2 linked regions of the Xenopus tropicalis genome follow. The protein of the gene in region 2 purifies or fractionates together with the protein of the main gene of each other region. This does not show direct contact. Links are inferred from orthologs where the notes say so. Each region holds a gene or a part of one and is shown on either strand. Other genes may lie near its edges. The genes, in order: acad9 and eya2.

What was found.
Region 1: the proteins of eya2 (region 2) and acad9 purify together in Homo sapiens (affinity purification with mass spectrometry; 3 studies listed by BioGRID and IntAct, with this or other methods). This does not show direct contact. The link is inferred for Xenopus tropicalis from reciprocal best matches to the Homo sapiens genes EYA2 and ACAD9.

Annotation. Positions count from the first base shown.
Region 1 is NC_030680.2:151,556,772-151,567,251, reverse strand, and holds the start of acad9 (acyl-CoA dehydrogenase family member 9, mitochondrial), read right to left. Parts: upstream 5,838-10,480; 5' UTR 5,812-5,837; coding exon 5,659-5,811; intron 1,950-5,658; coding exon 1,856-1,949; intron 1,609-1,855; coding exon 1,507-1,608; intron 1,277-1,506; coding exon 1,170-1,276; intron 723-1,169; coding exon 622-722; intron 1-621. UniProt on the Homo sapiens protein: As part of the MCIA complex, primarily participates in the assembly of the mitochondrial complex I and therefore plays a role in oxidative phosphorylation.
Region 2 is NC_030686.2:37,298,986-37,309,801, forward strand, and holds the end of eya2 (eyes absent homolog 2), read right to left. Parts: intron 10,791-10,816; coding exon 10,630-10,790; intron 8,822-10,629; coding exon 8,707-8,821; intron 7,252-8,706; coding exon 7,130-7,251; intron 6,652-7,129; coding exon 6,552-6,651; coding exon of another isoform or gene 6,551-6,551; intron 3,604-6,550; coding exon 3,306-3,603; 3' UTR 2,760-3,305; downstream 1-2,759. UniProt on the Homo sapiens protein: Functions both as protein phosphatase and as transcriptional coactivator for SIX1, and probably also for SIX2, SIX4 and SIX5.

The sequences.
Region 1 (10,480 bases), on a different chromosome or scaffold from region 2:
ATCAGCTCCGGCGCGGGGATATTTATTGCAGCAGTTGGATAAACGCCCGGCGCCTTCTAAACAATCAGAAAATAATAACTGTCCTGTAATGAGAAGCAGAGTAACGGGCTGTGCCGGGGGTCTCCCCACTAAACTGTATGTGCCCCCGGCACCTTGGCACAGCCACACAGGTTCTACGGGGGGATTAGGGGCATGTAGGCTGTATATAGGGGAACAGTGGACACAGGTTCTACGGGGGGATTAGGGGCATGTAGGCTGTATATAGGGGAACAGTGGACACAGGTTCTACGGGGGGGGTGGGGGGGATTAGGGGCATGTAGGCTATATATAGGGGACAGTGGACACAGGTTCTACGGGGGTGGGGGGATTAGGGGCATGTAGGCTGTATATAGGGGAACAGTGGACACAGGTTCTACGGGGGGGGGGATTAGGGGCATATATATATATATATATATATATATATATATATATATATATATATATATATATATATATATATATATACAGGGGAACAGTGGATACAGGTTCTACGGGGGGGGGGGGGATTAGGGGCACACATGTCCTGGGGGGGTTAGGGGCATGTAGGCTATATAGGGGGCACACAGGGGGCCCTGTACTTACCTGCCCGGCTCTGTGAGACAAAAGGCTGCTATGTGCTCCCCAGATGCAAGTTTGGGCAGATATTTTGCCTTTTGCTCATCATTTCCAGCAATAAGGATCCCCTAGAGGCAAAGGCAGAACATGAAAGTGTGAGTCTCCAGCAGGGATTGGGTGGGATGAAGCCAAAACCCACTGCAGCCACGCCCGCTAACCCACTGCAGCCACGCCCGCTAACCCACTGCAGCCACGCCCGCTAACCCACTGCAGCCACGCCCGCTAACCCACTGCAGCCACGCCCGCTAACCCACTGCAGCCACGCCCGCTAACCCACTGCAGCCACGCCCGCTAACCCACTGCAGCCACGCCCGCTAACCCACTGCAGCCACGCCCGCTAACCTGGTGCAGAGGGGCATTTATAAAAACCGGGCAAATTTGCACCTGAGCTGAGCTGTTACCACTGGCAACCAATCAGATGCAACTGGCTCAAAATAGCTAATTGCTGATTGGTTGCTATGGGTAACTGCCGCTGTTTATAAATGAGCCCCATGGAGTCCAAACTGCCCCTGTACCTTCAGTCCTATGGCCTGATGAGCTGCCAGGGTAACAGCAATGGCGCCGTCCAGAGAGGTGATTTCACCCAGGCGTGCGTACATTGTATTGGATAACCCCAGCCCCCCTGTGGGGAGGAAACAGTCACAGTTAGATCAGCCATTGCTCTCTAATGGGGCTACACCATGTCCCCCCAAAGCCCCCCAGTCTGCATACAGTAAGGATGCTACAATAGAGAGAAAAGGCAAAACCACCGCCACTGGGCACAGAGCTGACATCTAATTACTCCAAACTGCCCCATATAACAGTTCAGCTCAGTGCCAGCAATAACCCAGCATGGGGGGGGGGGGCACTTACCATACTCCTCGGGGATCTGCATGCCAAACAGACCCAGGTTTTTTAATCCATCCAGAGTTTCAGGGGGAATCTTGGCATTCTGGTCAATCAGTTTGGAATCCACTGTAACGGGAGAAGCAAAACTCATAAGGGGCAACAACTGGGCAAGGGGGGGGGGGCACAGCACATATTCCCAGCCTCTGCCCCAAAAATAACCAGGAAGGGACAGTAATAACATTGCACCCAATAACAATGCCCCTGGCCAGACTGAGCCCCCTCCACCCCCAGGCTGTCTCTACATACGGTACCTATCAGGGCCGGGGCAGATGTGGGGCGAGTGGCCGCTCTTTATAATAATAAGGGCCCAAACCTTCCTCATTGAAGAACTTCTCCACGGGGGCCACAAGCTGGTTGATCTCGTCCAGCTCCTCCTTAGTGATTTCGGGGTACGGGAAGACTTCTTCCTGCAAGAGAACATCGGCCGCTCACAGAGACTGACGCGCTTCATGGTATCGGCAGGAGAGGGCGCCAGGAGTTTATTTATTCCAGCAGGAACGCATTGTGGCCCCCCCAGTTGCTGGGGCCCCAAAACCCTGGAAGTCTCTCACTAACAAAAAATACTGTCCCTTACTCCCTGTTGTCTCTGTCTCAGGATTGCTCTGCTCTCTCACTCACCTGAGGGTGTAGCAGTCTCTTGCCCCCCTACCCTTTCTGACTCGGGTGAGGGGGGGCACCAGTTCTGACTCTCTCCAACTCACTTTCTCTCTCAGGGGCCCCTCTGGTCTCTCTCTCAGGGGCCCCCTCTGGTCTCTCTCTCAGGGGCCCCCTCTGGTCTCTCTCTCAGGGGCCCCCTCTGGTCTCTCTCTCAGGGGCCCCCTCTGGTCTCTCTCTCAGGGGCCCCCTCTGGTCTCTCTCTCAGGGGCCCCCTCTGGTCTCTCTCTCAGGGGCCCCCTCTGGTCTCTCTCTCAGGGGCCCCCTCTGGAATCTCTCTCAGGGGCCCCCTCTGGAATCTCTCTCAGGGGCCCCCTCTGGAATCTCTCTCAGGGGCCCCCTCTGGAATCTCTCTCAGGGGCCCCCTCTGGAATCTCTCTCAGGGGCCCCCTCTGGACTCTCTCTCAGGGGCCCCCTCTGGACTCTCTCTCAGGGGCCCCCTCTGGACTCTCTCTCAGGGGCCCCCTCTGGACTCTCTCTCAGGGGCCCCTTGGATCTCTCTCAGGGGCCCCCTCTGGATTCTCTCTCAGGGGCCCGCTCTGGACTCTCTCTCAGGGGCCCCCCCTCTGGCCTCGTCTCTCAGGGGCCCCCCCTGGTCTCTCTCTCAGCCGCCCCCCCCTCTGGTCTCTCTCTCAGCCCCCCCTCTGGCCTCGTCTCTGCAGCCGCCCCCCCCTCTGGTCTCTCTCTCAAGCCCCCCCCCTCCCTCTGGTCCTTCTCTCAGCCCCCCCCCCTCTGGCCTCTCTCTCAGCCCCCCCCCTCTGGTCTCTTCTCTCAGGCCCCGCCCCCCCCTTCTGGGTCTCTCCTCTCAGCCCCGCCCCCCTCTGGCTCTCTCTCAGCCCCCCCCCTCTGGCTCTCTCTTCAGCCCCCCCCCCTCTGGCTCTCCTCTCAGCCCCCCCTCCCTCTGGTCTCTCTCTCAGCCCCCCCCTCTGGTCTGCCCCCCTCTGGCCTCTCTCTAGCCCCCCCCCTTCTGGTCTCTCTCTCAAGCCCCCCGCCCCTCGGCTCTCTCGTCAGCCCCCCCCGCCTCTGGCCTCTCTCTCAGCCCCCCCCCCTCTGGCCTCTCTCTCAGCCCCCCCCCTCTGGCCTCTCTCTCAGCCACCCCCCCCCCTCTGGCCTGCTCTCTCAGCCCCCCCCCCTCTGGCCTCTCTCTCAGCCCCCGTCTGGTCTCTCTCACAGCCCCCCCCCCTCTGGTCTCTCTCTTCAGCCCCCCCCTCCTGGTCTCTCTCCTCAGCCCCCCCCCTCTGGGTCTCAGCCTTCTCTCAGCCCCCCCCTCTGGCCTCTTCTCTCACCCCCCCAGTCTGGCCTCTCTCTCAGCCCGCCCTCTGGTTCTCCTCTCAGCCCCCCGCCTCTGGTCTCTCTCTCAGCCGCCCCCCCCCCTGGCCTCGTCTCTCAGCCCCCCCCTCTGGTTCTCTCTCAGCCCCCCCCCTCTGGGGCTCTCTCTCAGCCCCCCCCCTCTGGCCTCTCTCTCAGCCCGCCCCCCCCCCCTCTGGCTCTCTCTCAGCCCCCCCCCCCCCCCCTCTGGCCTCTCTCTCAGCCCCCCGCCCCTCTGGCCTCTCTCTCAGCCCCCCCCCCCCTCTGGCCTCTCTCTCAGCCCCCCCCCCTCTGGCCTCTCTCTCAGCCCCCCCCCCTCTGGCCTCTCTCTCAGCCCCCCCTCTGGCCTCTCTCTCAGCCCCCCCCCCCTCTGGCCTCTCTCTCAGCCCCCCCCCTCTGGCCTCTCTCTCAGCCCCCCCCCCCCCTCTGGCCTCTCTCTCAGCCCCCCCCCCTCTGGCCTCTCTCTCAGCCCCCCCCTCTGGCCTCTCTCTCAGCCCCCCCCCCCTCTGGCCTCTCTCTCAGCCCCCCCCCCTCTGGCCTCTCTCTCAGCCCCCCCCCTCTGGCCTCTCTCTCAGCCCCCCCCCTTGGCCCTCTCTCTCAGCCCCCCCCCCCTCTGCCTCTCTCTCAGCCCCCCCCCTCTGGCCTCTCTCTCAGCCCCCCCCCCCTCTGGCCTCTCTCTCAGCCCCCCTCCTGGCCTCTCTCTCAGCCCCCCCCCCCCTCTGGCCCTCTCTCTCAAGCCCCCCCCTCTGGCCTCTCTCCTCAGCCCCCCCCCCCTCTGGCCCTCTCCTCAGCCCCCCCCCCTCTGGCCCTCTCTCAGCCCCCCCCCCCTCTGGCCTCTCTCTCAGCCCCCCCCCCCTCTGGCCTCCTCTCTCAGCCCCCCCCCCTCTGGCCTCTCTCTCAGCCCCCCCCCCTCTGGCCTCTCTCTCAGCCCCCCCCCCCTCTGGCCTCTCTCTCAGCCCCCCCCCCCCCTCTGGCCTCTCTCTCAGCCCCCCCCTCTGGCCTCTCTCTCACCCCCCCCCCTCTGGCCTCTCTCTCAAGCCCCCCCCCCTCTGGCCCTCTCTCTCAGCCCCCCCCCCTCTGGCCTCTCTCTCAGCCCCCCCCCCCCCTCTGGCCTCTCTCTCAGCCCCCCCCTCTGGCCTCTGCCCCTCAGCCCCCCCCCCCCCTCTGGCCTCTCTCTCAGCCCCCCCCCCCTCTGGCCTCTCTCTCAAGCCCCCCCCCCTCTGGCCTCTCTCTCAGCCCCCCCCCTCTGGCCTCTCTCTCAGCCCCCCCCCTCTGGCCTCTCTCTCAGCCCCCCCCCCCTGGCCTCTCTCTCAGCCCCCCCCCTCTGGCCTCTCTCTCAGCCCCCCCCCCCCCTCTGGCCTCTCTCTCAGCCCCCCCCCCCCTGGCCTCTCTCTCAGCCCCCCCCCCCTGGCCTCTCTCTCAGCCCCCCCCTCTGGCCTCTCTCTCAGCCCCCCCCCCTCTGGCCTCTCTCTCAGCCCCCCCCCCCTCTGGCCTGCTCTCTCAGCCCCCCCCCCTGGCCTCTCTCTCAGCCCCCCCCCCCCCTCTGGCCTCTCTCTCAGCCCCCCCCCCTCTGGCCTCTCTCTCAGCCCCCCCCCCCTCTGGCCTCTCTCTCAGCCCCCCCCCCTCTGGCCTCTCTCTCAGCCCCCGCCCCCCCCCCTCTGGCCTCTCTCTCAGCCCCCCCCCCTCTGGCCTCTCTCTCAGCCCCCCCCCCCCTCTGGCCTCTCTCTCAGCCCCCCCCTGCCTCTCTCAGCCCCCCCCCCTCTGGCCTCTCTCTCAGCCCCCCCCCCCTCTGGCCTCTCTCTCAGCCCCCCCCCCTCTGGCCTCTCTCTCAGCCCCCCCCCCCTCTGGCCTCTCTCTCAGCCCCCCCCCCTCTGGCCTCTCTCTCAGCCCCCCCCCTCTGGCCTCTCTCTCAGCCCCCCCCCCTCTGGCCTCTCTCTCAGCCCCCCCTCTGGCCTCTCTCTCAGCCCCCCCCTCTGGCCTCTCTCTCAGCCCCCCCCCCTCTGGCCTCTCTCTCAGCCCCCCCTCTGGCCTCTCTCTCAGCCCCCCCTCTGGCCTCTCTCTCAGCCCCCCCCCCCCCCTACTACATGACATACTGGGGAACCCCTCTGCTCACTCCCCGGCGCCTGTTGGGGCCCCCCGAACCCCCCATCTCACCTTACGGATTGTTCCCAGGAAGAGCTCCTTGGCGTAGGCGAGTCTCCGCGGGTGGGAACTGAAGTACTTGGGGGTAAGTACTGACCCGGCCGGACCCGCCCACACTCGGGCTAATTGCGCCGCCCGGCCGCACACCCGCTGTAACCCGAACATCTTCCCAATGTCACTCCCTGACTGACTGCCCGACTGATAGACAGCTCTGGCGCCGATAATATACGTCACTAAGACGCGCATGAAAGCCGCTTGTCTGCACTTCCGCCCACATTCTCAGAGACCTTCTGATTGGCTGGCCCGAGTCCATGTGACTTCTTGCTGCACCAGTGGGATTCCCGCGTTTGGCCTGTGTGTTGTTCTTAGCGGGACCCTGAGAGCAGGGTTGTCAGGTTGGCGGGTTTTCCACCAAATTGGGCTACTAATTCAAATCCCAGGCGGGTTTCCAAAGTACAAACCCCCCAAGGTACAGTTTTGGGCTATTTTTTGGAGCCTTGGCGGGTTTGTAGTTTGGAAACTAGCCAAAGTTTTTTCCCCTCAGTGTAAGTCTGTCCCGCTGCATGCTGGGTAATGTAGTTTGTATCTAACAATTAGCCTACAGGTAGGATAAATATAAAACTACAATACCCAGCATGCAATTGGACAGTATAGACAGTGGCTTCTATTCTGTTTAGGCTCAACCTGTCTGCCCTACACCCTGCTCTATAGGGTATGGGATTGTACCATTATTTCCTGCTGTGATGTTATTTTGTGCAGTTTATCTTTAAGCTATAACTCAGGATCTCTTGGAGCTTCTGAGAGTTGTAGTTCAACGCACCCATATGTATATCATATCTGGGGTTATATCCGCCTGTGAGGGATCTCAGATAGGGGCACTTACTGACGGCGTTGCACTTGGTTTCTAATTCATTTCATGAATAAGTTGTGTTTTAAAGAAATAAATGACCTTGGACCATGGATTTTACATTCACTGTGAGAGATTCGCCACATACACTGCAGCTTCTCCCGCCGGGCCCGAGCGCTTCTGGGCAGGAACAGCCAAAGGGCAATAGATTCTTATTCCTCTGATAAGCAAGTAACTAATGACATAAAGGGTTAAATGGCCTGGGGCCACTGATGTCAACCCATAAACCTGCAGGTAGGGGAACCCCGCATTGTATGGGACCCATATACCTGCAGGTAGGGGAACCCCGCATTGTATGGGACCCATATGCCTGCAGGTAGGGGAACCCCGCATTGTATGGGACCCATATGCCTGCAGGTAGGGGAACCCCGCATTGTATGGGACCCATATGCCTGCAGGTAGGGGAACCCCGCATTGTATGGGACCCATATGCCTGCAGGGAGGGGAACCCCACATTGTATGGGACCCATATACCTGCAAGTAGGGGAACCCCGCATTGTATGGGACCCATATACCTGCAGGTAGGGGTACCCCGCATTGTATGGGACCCATATGCCTGCAGGGAGGGGTACCCCACATTGTATGGGACCCATATACCTGCAGGTAGGGGTACCCCGCATTGTATGGGACCCATATGCCTGCAGGGAGGGGTACCCCACATTGTATGGGACCCATATACCTGCAGGTAGGGGTACCCCACATGATAGAGGCACTGGGGCCAATGGACTGAGGACCTTACCTGAGGGGGGGGTGCATATGGGGAAGATGTCCTTACCTGGTGGGGAGATACAGACCTGGGCTGGAAATCTGCAAACTCTGGAAAATGCCATAAGTTCCTTACCTGGGGGTGTTACTGACAGCTCACAGCAGGGGGGCCGGTCTTACTGACAGCAGGGGGGCCGGTATTACTGACAACTGACAGCAGGGGGGCCGGTATTACTGACAACTGACAGCAGGGGGCCCCGCGTGCAGGGAGACTTTCTATAGAAATAATTAGTTTGGCCTTTAGCAAACATAACAGGAGGTAAATAAAATCTGTTGCTCAAATGGAAGAGCCTCACAGGCTGCAGCACCAATCAACTAGCGGCAACTCTGCTCCCACAATCCCCTGCTGCTCCCTTGCCATAACCCCCCCAGTACATAAGCACCCTGTATGCCCACAGGAACCTGACTGTATGTCATTATAGAGTATTGCCCATTGGTCCCCAGCCCTAGGGGCCCTGGCCAATGACACCCCTGGGGACACAGGGAAAGGAGCAAAGGAGTAAATGAGTGCGCCCCAGACTTTATTGGGGGAGAATTGATTTCTCTGATTGGGAATTGATAAGGAATTTTTTTGCCTATGTAAGTGCCCCCCCCTGAAGCTGCTGCCCCAGGCACGTGCCCTCAGGCAATACAAGAATATGCCCCTAAGCACAAACAGCTCTTCAATGTACAGGTAAAAGCCCCCAGGTGGTAAATAATAGCCCTGTAGAGGTACATGGGGTACTATGGACAAAACAGCAGTCTCTCCTGGTGCATTTACCCTTCTGCAGGAGTAATTGCCCCCTGTGGCCCGTTTTCTTATTTTAATGGGACTTTCAGGGTTTTGCCTTTATTTCCCAGCAATCACTTCCAATCCTGAGCCCCTGCGTGCCCCCCCGGAACAGGGAACTTCACCATGGAAACAACACTAAATGCCAGCTTTATCTTCCTCCCTATATGCCAGCTGGGGGGGGGTCTTTACCCCCAGAAATCTCATTACAGAGTGCATATTTGAGGGTCAGAGGGCCGGAATTATCAGTAAGGTTTGAACTAAGCACCCCAAGCATTTTGGGGCGCAGCCCCACCATCCCCCACCCCAAATGCATTACCCCCCTACTGTATATAAATGTTTTTACTTGTCCTTTAATACTGTAACAGAGGAGTCAATTGGACCTGCTGCGAGCCCCAACTTGCCTCTGTGGGGGCCCCCAAGACACAGTGGCGCCCCCCAGGCGCTCTGGCGAGAAGCAACAAGAGCCACAAACCTTCTCTTTTATGGTTTATTGAGTTTATCCACATGATCACAGTTATTATTATTATTATCATTGTACACGGAGGGGTAGGTACTACTTACAGACAGAATGCATATTCCAGTTCCGCACTTTCCTTTCCTTCTGTGAGTTACAAAATGCCCCTCGGTGCTTACGGGGGGGAAGGGGTTAACAGTCTGGTTGCTAATTCTAAGGTTTCCTATCGAATGCCGTGGTTATTAAAGAGTCAGTGAGGGGGGGGTGGGGAATTTACACACTATGTACAGTAACCGCTATATATCGGCCCCCTGGGGCCCCTCCTGGGACAGTCCATTTCCCAGCCGCTTCCATGTTGGATTATATACAGTTTCACCGCAGGCAGGAAGAGGAATGATATCTTACAATGGAACAAACGCATGCCGGACCGCAGAACACACGCTCCAATGGGACAGCAACACTTAGAGAGTCAATATACAGATCTGTAGAAATATCCGCTGAGCGAGTGTCAGCTTCTTGTACGAGTCCTGGTGCATGCAGCACAGCGTGGGGCTCACTCCGCACCGGGTAGCGGCCCAGCTTGCGTCTTCATATTGCAATACAATACATGTACAGTATATAGGAATAGAATTTAATCATTTGATTTACCCTTTACATTGTTGCACACGTCATTCTTAACTGAAAAAATACAAATACAGTGAGTGCTGATTCCAGGGAAGAGTCTCGCTGCCCGGGGGCCATGTCCGGCCGAGAGTGCGCCCACCTACATGCACTTACCCACCGGCTAGAGCCACGGGCAACTGTAGTATTTACCCCCTCCCTGTATCAGAGTTTCACCCTCTGGCTCTTTTATTATTCAATTGCATTTATTGGGGTGTAATAATAGAAACGGGGGTGTCTCCAGTATTCTAACATCAGAAGGAGATCTCACCATCAGTGATACATTGGGGGTGGGGAGGAAAGGGGATCTCACCATCAGCATAGGAAGGGGTTCCTTACTGTAAGGGCAGTCAGGTTATGGGATTCCCTACCAAGAGAGGGGGAATGAGTGATACATTGGGGGTGGGGAGGGAAGGGGATCTCACCATCAGCATAGGAAGGGGTTCCTTACTGTAAGGGCAGTCAGGTTATGGGATTCCCTACCAAGAGAGGGGGAATGAGTGATACATTGGGGGTGGGGAGGAAAGGGGATCTCACCATCAGCATAGGAAGGGGTTCCTTACTGTAAGGGCAGTCAGGTTATGGGGTTCCCTACCAAGAGAGGGGGAATGAGTGATACATTGGGGGTGGGGAGGAAAGGGGATCTCACCATCAGCATAGGAAGGGGTTCCTTACTGTAAGGGCAGTCAGGTTATGGGGTTCCCTACCAAGAGAGGGGGAATGAGTGATACATTGGGGGTGGGGAGGGAAGGGGATCTCACCATCAGCATAGGAAGGGGTTCCTTACTGTAAGGGCAGTCAGGTTATGGGATTCCCTACCAAGAGAGGGGGAATGAGTGATACATTGGGGGTGGGGAGGAAAGGGGATCTCACCATCAGCATAGGAAGGGGTTCCTTACTGTAAGGGCAGTCAGGTTATGGGGTTCCCTACTGGAATGGGGGGGGGGGTAAGCTATTTATTGATTGAGGGGTGGGGATTAAGTGATTTATTAGTTGGATTTTCAGTTACTTGGACTTTTGTAAAGTTCTATATTTGTACCCACAATGCACCCTTCTCTGTAGATATGAATAGATATTTCTGTAGGGGCTGCCATACTGCTTGCTGCTGCTCCTGTGAGACCTCTGGAGACACATTGTGTGTATATATATATATATGTATAGGTATATAGAGGGAGGCAGAGCCAAAGGGTTAACCCTACGGGGGCGGCCGCCCATCTTCCCTGGAAGCAGCCGCAGGTTACAGGTAGGTGCTACTCTAGTACAGAGGTAAGTGAGG
Region 2 (10,816 bases):
TTGGCTCTGTATTTATCCTGCCATGTGTTCTGGGGTATTATACATGGAATTGGCACTGTATTTATCCTGCCGTGTGTTCTGGGGTATTATACATGGAACTGGCACTGTATTTATCCTGCTGTCTGTTCTGGGGTATTATACATGGAATTGGCACTGTATTTATCCTGCCGTGTGTTCTGGGGCAATGGGTGGGCCAGTGATTTGGGGCAGCTTCAAACATGTTGAAATTCAGTAAATGCAACATATGAAATAGATGGCAATCAGTTTTAGCACAATTCCCTGTCATACCATAAACCCTCTATGATTTGCTTTTGTTTTTTCTGCTACTGGCCCTTTAAGTGTTTATGAAGCAGTTTTGGTGCAACAGCTGTATTAGTGAGGGGTAAATATTCTGTGATTCCCTTGGAATGTTTGCCTTTGATCAGTGGAGGTCAGTGGTAGGGCAGAGCAGAGGGCAATTGCCCTGGGCGCCCAGAATCCCAGGACGTTCTCCGAGGTCTAAGTGAAAGCACAAAGGACATATTGGGCCACAGCAGTAAAGTGTTTGCTCCTCCGTCTGATGCCCATATAACTGTGCCTACTGTGCCTTCCCTGGCTTTTATGCATATTGATTGGGCAAGGGCAGTGATTGGGCAAGGGCAGTGATTGGGCAAGGGCATTGTGCCAGGCTGTGGGCACAAGGGAACACTTTACTTTTTACCTGAAACCAACCAGGTCAGGGTTGTGCCCTCATCCAGCATCAGTGCAACCAGGCCACCTGGCCTACCCTGCCCACCCCTAGTTCCGACTCTGCACACCCATGTAGCATTTTGAAGGCCAATGATGGGCCTTGATTTGTAAATAGGCAGAAGAATTGCACCTCTGCCTTATATTCACAGGAAGCGCCCGACATTGACATTCTCGGAAAGAAAAGGATTGTGGGTAAAATACCATGGCAAAAAGGTGCCAAACGGCATAGTCCAATTCCAAACTGGGCTTGATCCTTGTTTTTGTTGTTTTAATTATCAGACCAGACTGGAATTTTGCAACGTGTTAGAATCTTACTCAGTCTTTCAGAGCAAAGAGGGTTAAGTGATCCCAGATGGCGAGTGAAGTCTGCGGGAGAGAGCGATTATCCCAAGCCGCGCTATAAGGGCTTCCTGGTCTCAGCCATTACGTCCATCACAAAATCATCAGGCTCTTGTTTGTTAGAGAGTGGAACAAGTCTGTACTGATCTCACACCTTCTCAGCCCAAAGGCAACCAACCATGCGCGTCTGGCTCTTTCCCACGCGTAATCCCCAAACTAAAATATTATTGTCTAACACCCCCCCACGCCAGGATTAAACCAACACATTTAATTGCTGGCTGTTAGGTTAAAGAGGTAATAGGCCTTTTTTAATGTCCCATTAGATCTAACTGGTTCCCTTTGCTTTGTTATGCTCTAGCTTCTATGAATGTAACACTACCTTCCTGAAAGCAATGGTAAGATTTGGTGGAGGAACAATAGTCTTGATTTGGACTTGGGCCCCTGGTTCAAGTGAATTCAAACCTTAAGGCTGATGCCAGACGTGGCGTAGGGCTGATATTTTCGGCAAGAGGAAAAACGATTGGCGAAAATACAGCCCTATGCCTGCTACTTGTGCCTGCACCCGAATAAATAAGATACGCTCAGGTGCAGGCACAAGTAGCCGATATACGCAAGACAACGCAAGACTTTGCATTATCTCATGTTTTTTTGCGTATATCGGCTTATTGTGCCTGCACCTGAGCGTATCTTATTCATTCGGGTGCAGGCACAAGTAGCAGGTGTAGGGCTGTATTTTCACCAATCGTTTTTCCTCTTGCCGAAAATATCAGCCCAGTCTGTCATCAGCCTAAGGCTACAAGGTACAATGACATTACTGACAATTCTATGCTTCCTATTTTGTGGAACAGTTTGGGGAAAGCCCTTTGCTGTTTCAGCACAATAATGCCCACATGTTCCGTACATAATGGGTTTGCTGAGACGGAAGTGCAAGAACCTAACTGGCCTGCACAGAACTCTGGTTTCAACACAACCGAACCACTTTGGGATGAATTGGAACCCTAACTGTGAGCCGGGTCTGATCCCCAACATCATTTCCCAACCTCACTAATGTTCTTGTGGCTGAATGGGAGCAACTCCCAGCAACAATGTTCCAACATCCAGTGGGGAACTTCCCAAAAGACATGGGCTAGTTTAGGGAGGAAAGACTTCATAGTGAATGGGATGTTGGACAGGAAGGTATCTGAATACTGTTCATTATGTAGGTCGATACATAGGGGTTGGGATTGTGTAAAGGTGGCCATGCACTGCCAAACAAGGGGATCTTCTCCTGATATGTCCATCTAAGGTGGGCAACATTGAGCTAATTCGGCTATTTGGCCCTAGGGCATAGACATGTCGGGCCGAGGACCACATCAACAATCAGATGCAGCCCCCGATCCGATGGAAAATCAAACCTGCCTGATCGAGATCTACCCAATTTTTGGGCAGATCTCGGTAGGGTAGGACCGTCGGGGGTGCCCATACACGGGCAGATAAGCTGCCAATTTGGTCTAAAGGACCTGAATCAGCAGCTAAACTTTGCCCGTGTATGGCCACCTTAAGATACCCTGCACCAAATGTACCACCACCACTATAGGCCTCTAGCTGTCCCACTACATCTATGACTGGTAACGGAATATTCCAGGCAAGAGATGATCCGATTCCCAGGAGATATAAGTGCAAACCAATAAGGAAACACTACAAGCTGGGTATGAATTTCCCCAAAATGTAAACGTAGTTTTCTTTAATGCCTTTCATTCATGACAACATATTTTTTTTTTTTGTTTTACCTATATAAAAAAAAAAGAAAGATGGCAGCATAAGGCACGGCGTAGACGCATGCACAGTCCACATACCATCTATACAATGTTCAAACATAACTATAGTAATTTGTACCAACCATTACTAATGTACACAACCTGATTGTCCCCAGCCTTTGCCGTGAAGAAAAAATTATTAAATAAGATCGACATACACCCGCCCTCCCACTCTGACAGATAAAAACTCAGGAAAAGGAGCATAATGACAGGAAAAAAAAATTGAAAGAAGTCCATAAATTAGAAAAAAAAACATACAAAAAAAAAAAAAAAAGAAATCAACAATTTGACTCAGTTAAGTTCCATGGTGGGCAATCCATTGGGTAGTGGGCTCGGCCAGTCTATCTGTGTGGCCAATACTTATTTCTTTAAAGTTGATCCTTTGCGCCATCAAGTCCATTTGTGCTTATAAATAGTCCGTGGAGGGTGGATAAACCCGCACTAGTAGTCCAGGTTCAGCAATAAGCATCTGATTAAATTATACAAGTTCTGGGTTGGGCTGGACTCTCCGAGCAACCCTTCCGCCTGGTGGAGTTTCCCTAGGGCTGTCCTTGGAAGAAGCAAGCCGGTGTTCCTAACCAACTGAGAAAGTTCTAGTTGAGAGACTTGCTGAGGGAGGGGCCTGCTAACGACCAGCACGGAACTCCTCCAGCCTGCTACAAGTACTCCAGTTCTAGAGCATGCCGCAATGCTTCCAGATCGGCGTGGCAAGAGATTCTCCAGAATGGCATGTTGTGCTGGAATGGGGGAAAAAGGGGAATTGTTAAAAGGTGAAACCCAGTAGATCCATTTTCAAAATTATTCGGCCACTAGAGGGCATTTTTCTATTAAAACAGGGGGGCCCTATACTTTTCGTTATCCATAAGTCAAACTCAAAGTGTTGGGGTGCTGACACAAGCATGAAAAAAGTTCAATGGTTGCCAAATGGGTGGCATATTGGTAGCCTGTTATTGACTACCAGCCTGCAGGAGGCGCTCTTTGGTCTTGGTCTTTTTGTGCCTCCGGAACCTGTCCCCAAACCAGGAATTCAATAACAAGCAGCTGCTGTAAGGCCCCTGGAAGCAAGATTTATAATGGCAGTGGTTGGGCATCACTGCTTTAGAGCATAAATATGCGACTAAATACACCCCTATTGTAAAATATATGGATATTAGAAGTCACCAAAGAGTTAATGAACCAATAAAGCCTGATGGCTACCAGTTGAGTGCATTGGCATGGGTCACAGAACTCCAGGATAACGATAAACTGCCATATTTTCCAACAAAAGAGAAATCAGTTGTGTATAATATACTCGTTTCAATGAATTGTTTGACACAAGTGACCTCACAAAGTACTAATTATAACTGATGACATCACTAAGTACCATTTATAAGGATATATTTTACATCTTATTCATGGCTTCTATCATATAAGACTCAGTCTCAGCCTGGGATGGGAGCTTAAGGCTGCGTTGGATTCATCTCATGGATGACGTTCCGTGGCTTCACAGGCCATTTCTTCCTTGAGGTTCCGGAATGATAACTCTAAAACTATGTTGAGCAACACAATAGATAGTAGAAGCCACATTGCTGGTGGAAGGGAAAGCCTCCTGCATGACTGTGATTGCCATGAATAAAAGCCAGTTGGTTTGTTGATGTATGATGATTTGAGGGGCGCTAAAGCTTCAGAAAATGAGCCTCATCCATCACCGCGCCTGACAGCTGCGGAAAGGAATGTTTGGGGAAATAGAAGCACGAAGCCTTTTAACCTGCAGCTCAGAGAAACACAACTCAGATCCGGGTCATTGCTTTCAAAGAGAAGCCTCATCTTTGATGCATCAGCGTTGAATTCCCCATACAGCCGGCACAGAATAAACCTACTTAGGGCCAAATGAAGTCTCATTCATTCAATTGTTTTATTTAATGTACAAAGTGATTTATTTGTGTTTTTGGAATATTTATGGTTTAAATACTACTAGATAATCCATTTGCACTCATATTTGGCACTGCTATAGGGGTAGCTAGCAATCTAGTAATACTGTGTATATATATACTATCGATCTTTAAGACATTATGGGCACTTGTATTAAGTTAGGCAATAGATAGATAGATGATAGATGATAGATAGATGATAGATAGATGATAGATAGGTAGATAGATATATAGATAGATAGGTAGATGATAGATCGATAGATGATAGATAGATAGATAGATCGATAATAGATAGATGATAGATAGATGATATATAGATAGATTATAGATAGATGATAGATAGATAGATAGATAGATAGATAGATAGATAGATGATAGATAGATAGATGATAGATACAGTAGATAGATGATAGATAGATAGATAGATAGATGATAGATACAGTAGATAGATGATAGATGATAGATAGATAGTAGATAGATAGTGGATACATAAATAAAAGAAAGATAGATGAACAGATAGGTAGATAAACATTTAGATAGATGTTATAGAATGGCCAAGTCTAAGCAACTTTTCAATTGGTCTTTATTATTTATTATTAATAGTTCTTTCATTATTTGCCTTCTTCTTCTGAGTATGGATCACTATATCCAAATTTAAAAAATATAAAAATGAAATAAACCCAATAGGAATGTTCATGCAGCTTAAATCCCATCAAGTACGAGGTGCCGTTTTATAATTACAGAGAAACAGGAAATAGTTTTAAAAATAAAAAATATTTGCTTAAAATGGGAGATGGCCTCCTCCTAATTCAGAGCTTTCTGGATGACAGGTTTCCGTAAAAGGGATCCCATACCCGCATATAATCAAATTTCCAATTTATCCCAATCATATTTTTCTTCTATAATTGTAAAGACGCTTTCAGTTGGGTTGAATTGCTGATTCTGGGTGTAGGATCTCTTAACCCCTTGAGTTTTGTGAGTCAGTATTTGGGCAATTGGCCCCACCCCCTCCTTGACAGCTCTGATAATTCCCTCAGTTTCCTACAATAAAACTAGAAAGTGCAGGAACTGGAAAAAAAGCTAAAAAAGAAAAAAATTAAATGCTTTTATGGTTAAATAAATTATTAAATCCAATCAGGGTTGGACTGGGGGGTGCAGGGCCCACCGAGCCTACTGCCCCAGGGGCCCCTCACCCTCCACAGGGGCCCCCACTGCGCCACCCTAACCCCCCGCAGGGCAGAGCGGCAACAGCGATTGGCTCTTCCCAGTGCCCCGGCGGCCCAGTCCGACCCTGAATTCAACTGTAAATGGGTTTTATTTACCTTGGAGAATCTTCTAACATTAAATTACATTAGGGTGGATGATTTTAAACAAATCATTATAAAATATGTTTTTTTTTACATTTTCATGACTTTAAAAAAAAAAAATCTATTTACTACTATTAATTACTATTTTGGCGTAAAAAAAGAAATTAGAAAAAATTCAAAAATGACAATTTAGAAAACAAAACAAACCAAATCGTCGTATCTGGTAGAGTTTTGTTTAATTGTTTAGTGGTTTTTGGGGGCGGGGCTAAAGCAAAGAGATTCGCCATAGCAATTGGGAAGGATATTGTAGTTTTAAAAAATGTGATGCTTTTTATAAGCCAGGAACCCAGATAATAAAGCTTTGCTGAGTATGGAAGTCAAAAAGTCAAAGGGCATATGGTTAAAATAAACCCTAAATAAATAATGACATACGCACGGGTATGAACATATGGGTATTTACTACATCTACCTTTTTTGCCGCTTGCTCCTCTTCCACGCCGTCTCCGATTACAACATACACAGCTTTTCTCCCAAATCGCTGCATTATCCTCTCGAAGCAGCACTCCTTCCCTGCATGGACCCGGCAGAAAAAAAAAGAGTAATGACTATTCTAAATGTGAAATAAAATGTGCCACAAAAGTGTTTTTTTATATAAAAAGAACAAAAAATCATTAAATCCTCTTGAAGCAAAAACTCCTTCGTTCTCTGTTTATATTCCGCCTTTTTTTATTTCGCATATGATATTAAAAAAAAAAAAAAAACCAGAGACCGCGGCGATTCTGATAAACTGTTCCTGGTAACAGAATCTCACTGGAGACGTTTCCCAGCCATAAATTAATGCCGGCGTCCTTAGCTTACAAGTAATAAAGGAAATATATATGTTTGGAGGTTCATTTAGCAGCGTGAGATCAGAATATTACAAAATAATCATCATAATATAAATCAAACCAGCATATAGGAGACATGAAAACATAATAAAAATTCTGAAAACAAAATAAAGAAGCTTGGGAGGGGAAAAGCAGCGATGGTTTAATAAAGTTCCACTTACCTGTCTTTGTTGCGCTGTAAATGTTTTCAATAGGAAAGACCGTGCCGAGGCCGTAGAGCAGCACCTTGGCGATGGCCGGTATAAGCTGCGTGGTGGTTACTAGAACATTCACACAGTTGGGCCTGGGAAGGGAAAAGTAATAGAGAAATACAATCAGAAATATTTATTATTGGGATTATTTAAGTACAGGTATAGGGCCCATTATCCAGAATGCTAGGGACCTTAATAAAACCTTAATTAAACCCAATAAAGGGTAATTATATCTTAGTTGGGATCAAGTACAGGTACTGTTTTATTATTACAGAGAAAAGGGAATCATTTAACCATGAAATAAACCCAATAGGGCTGTTCTGCCCCCAATAAGGGGTAATTATATCTTAGTTGGGATCAAGTACAGGTACTGTTTTATTATTACAGAGAAAAGGGAATCATTTAACCATTAAATAAACCTAATAGGACTGTTCTGCCCCCAATAAGGGGTAATTATATCTTAGTTGGGATCAAGTACAGGTACTGTTTTATTATTACAGAGAAAAGGGAATCATTTAACCATTAAATAAACCCAATAGGGCTGTTCTGCCCCCAATAAGGGGTAATTATATCTTAGTTGGGATCAAGTACAGGTACTGTTTTATTATTACAGAGAAAAGGGAATCATTTAACCATGAAATAAACCCAATAGGGCTGTTCTGCCCCCAATAAGGGGTAATTATATCTTAGTTGGGATCAAGTACAGGTACTGTTTTATTATTACAGAGAAAAGGGAATCATTTAACCATTAAATAAACCCAATAGGGCTGTTCTGCCCCCAATAAGGGGTAATTATATCTTAGTTGGGATCAAGTACAGGTACTGTTTTATTATTACAGAGAAAAGGGAATCATTTAACCATTAAATAAACCCAATAGGGCTGTTCTGCCCCCAATAAGGGGTAATTATATCTTAGTTGGGATCAAGTACAGGTACTGTTTTATTATTACAGAGAAAAGGGAATCATTTAACCATTAAATAAACCCAATAGGGCTGTTCTGCCCCCAATAAGGGGTAATTATATCTTAGTTGGGATCAAGTACAGGTACTGTTTTATTATTACAGAGAAAAGGGAATCATTTAACCATTAAATAAACCCAATAGGGCTGTTCTGCCCCCAATAAGGGGTAATTATATCTTAGTTGGGATCAAGTACAGGTACTGTTTTATTATTACAAAGAAAAAAGAGATCAGTTTTAAAATTCTGAATTATTTGATTAAAATGGAGTCTTTTGGAGACGGGCTTTCCGTATTTCAGAGCTTTCTGGATAAGGGACCCCATACTTGTACCATACAAACACCCTGGAAACAATTTCTCTACCCTACACTAAAACTAAAGTCAGAGACTCCATCTTGCTATGACATGTTATATTCAGCCATCATTTATCTGCTGTCTAAGCAAAGTTCCATCCAGTATATTGGATTTTACAAAGCCTGATAATACGTATTTATACTCCCATAGGTTCTACTGAGTATTATTATTAAAAAGCCTATTGAAGAATGCAACCCCTATGGGACTAGGCACAGATATGCCTTCCTGCCCTTACCTAGAGTGTATTAGATTCAATGCTTTAAGTGCATGAGTCAGCCACAGATCAGTCAAGGCCTCCATTTCTGCTCTTAGCTGAAGCCATGTTTCCCTCTTTGGAGCTCCGATTAAACCTAAGAAGACAAAAAAAAAAAGAGAACACAACTCAGCACATTTTGCATAATATTAATATTTAGCCCCGCTAGAAAATAATCACCCGTTTGTAAAGCTTTAGCTGTTGTGACCTACAGATCCCAGCATGCTTAGCTAGCTGGAAGGTTCCATGATAGACAGTTCACATGTATTTGCCAAGCGCTGAAATTTGTCTAAACCTTCCTACAGTTTTTCTAGTAGGCCTTGGGGGTTATGTAGAGATGTGCAAAACATACGTTTGTCATAATTCTGCCTGAATCAGAGCAGTTAAAGCTGCTTGTTAGTTGGCCAGTTACCAGCAGAGGTGCAAACTTTGCCCCATGCTAGTACATAACCCACATATTCAAGAATAGGGCTTGCAGCCATATTTGCAGTTTTCTTTTCTTTCCCAGAATATAGGGTTGCAAACAAAACCTTTTATATGGAATATGCTGCATGGCTGATTAGTAGCCTGCCGCAGACTAAAACGATACAGTGGCAATGCTAATATTTTATTTAATCCTAATATCGTACCATTTTGTGGGAAAAAAAAGTAACACAAATGAGTCAAAACAGGAAGTTTTCTGTCCGGTGAACACAGATCTTAAAAACACTTGCATATAAGATATAAGGGGGAAAGGGGGGGGGAATAATTCATTAAACACACCAGTGGCAGGAGTTCAGCCTGCGTGGGACTGCATGTTTAGAGAACTGATGAGAATCGGCTCTGTTCAAGGTATAATTGCTTCTGCGCATTAACCCTTTACCTGCTGTGGCTACCCAGACATTTGCAGAGTTTAACCCCTCTTTTTTTGGTGCAATGTCACTTCCAATAGGAAGCGCTGTTCTTTGACCCTGACCTGTGATTATCTCCGGCAATATGTGCTGTGGGACCCCCTGACTGCAGGTCAGCGCAGGTCAAGGGCGGCCATGGAAATCTCACTTCCGCACTAAATAATCACTGTATTTTTTCCAAGATACAGAATAAACTGTTTACCTTGAGCTCTCGTTACGACTCAATAAAAATGCCATTCGATGCCGTTCCTTCGGCACGCAGAATAATAAAGCAAAACTACAATGGGTCGCATCGTAAATAAAATAACATGGAACCAATTAAGACGCAACTTAAAATGCACATATTTATGGATCTTCCAATGCCTCTTTTTAACTTTGGCAAGTATGGCCGGCTGTTGGCAACCGCAATTAAACGTAATAAAACGAACCTGATTGCTCGCTAATCCAAACAAATTTATGCGCCGGGGATGTTCCTGTGCCTGATTTGGCTTTCAGGAATAAAAATAATTTATGGAGATAGAAATGCTTTTTGTTGGCTGAAATGGAATTTAGGATTAATTGCGGGCAATCTGCACATTCCTGCTCCCTCTCTTTGATGTCGGATTGGATGGAAACATGGTGTGTTCTTTTGAGAAGGATTACAGAGTTAAAGGAGAAGTTTTCTTTCTTTATTTGTGAACACACACACACACATGTTGTAAAGCTACCCATTGCTGGCTTGAACAGACGGAAAGCATACACGGGGGCCACATATAGAATGACTGCCTTCTGATCAAGGCTGTATTTATATATAACCAACTAAGGGCCAGTGCTAGTTTTAGAGGGGTGGCCCTTGGGTACCTAAATAAGACATCTTTCATAGCTTGGAATACAGAAATCCTGGGTTATTTGGCGTCCTATACAGTGGCATTCCCATACACTAGTAGGGATTTATGACAAGGTGGATCTCTTTAGAAGGGTTGATGCTATGTATGTCATATACCTACAGGCAACATAATAATACCTAAAAACTCACCTCCCACATTGTTTTTATAAGTGCTGTACATCTCCTTTACTCTCCTGTAGCGAAATGCTAATTTCCTCATCCAGTCTACACCTCCATGGACGCCAGATCCCAGACAGAGGTTGGCACCAGCGGCGGAACTGTGAAAGCCATCGGCGGAGAAGTTATATGTGCTGTGGGACAAGAGAGGAGAAAGAGC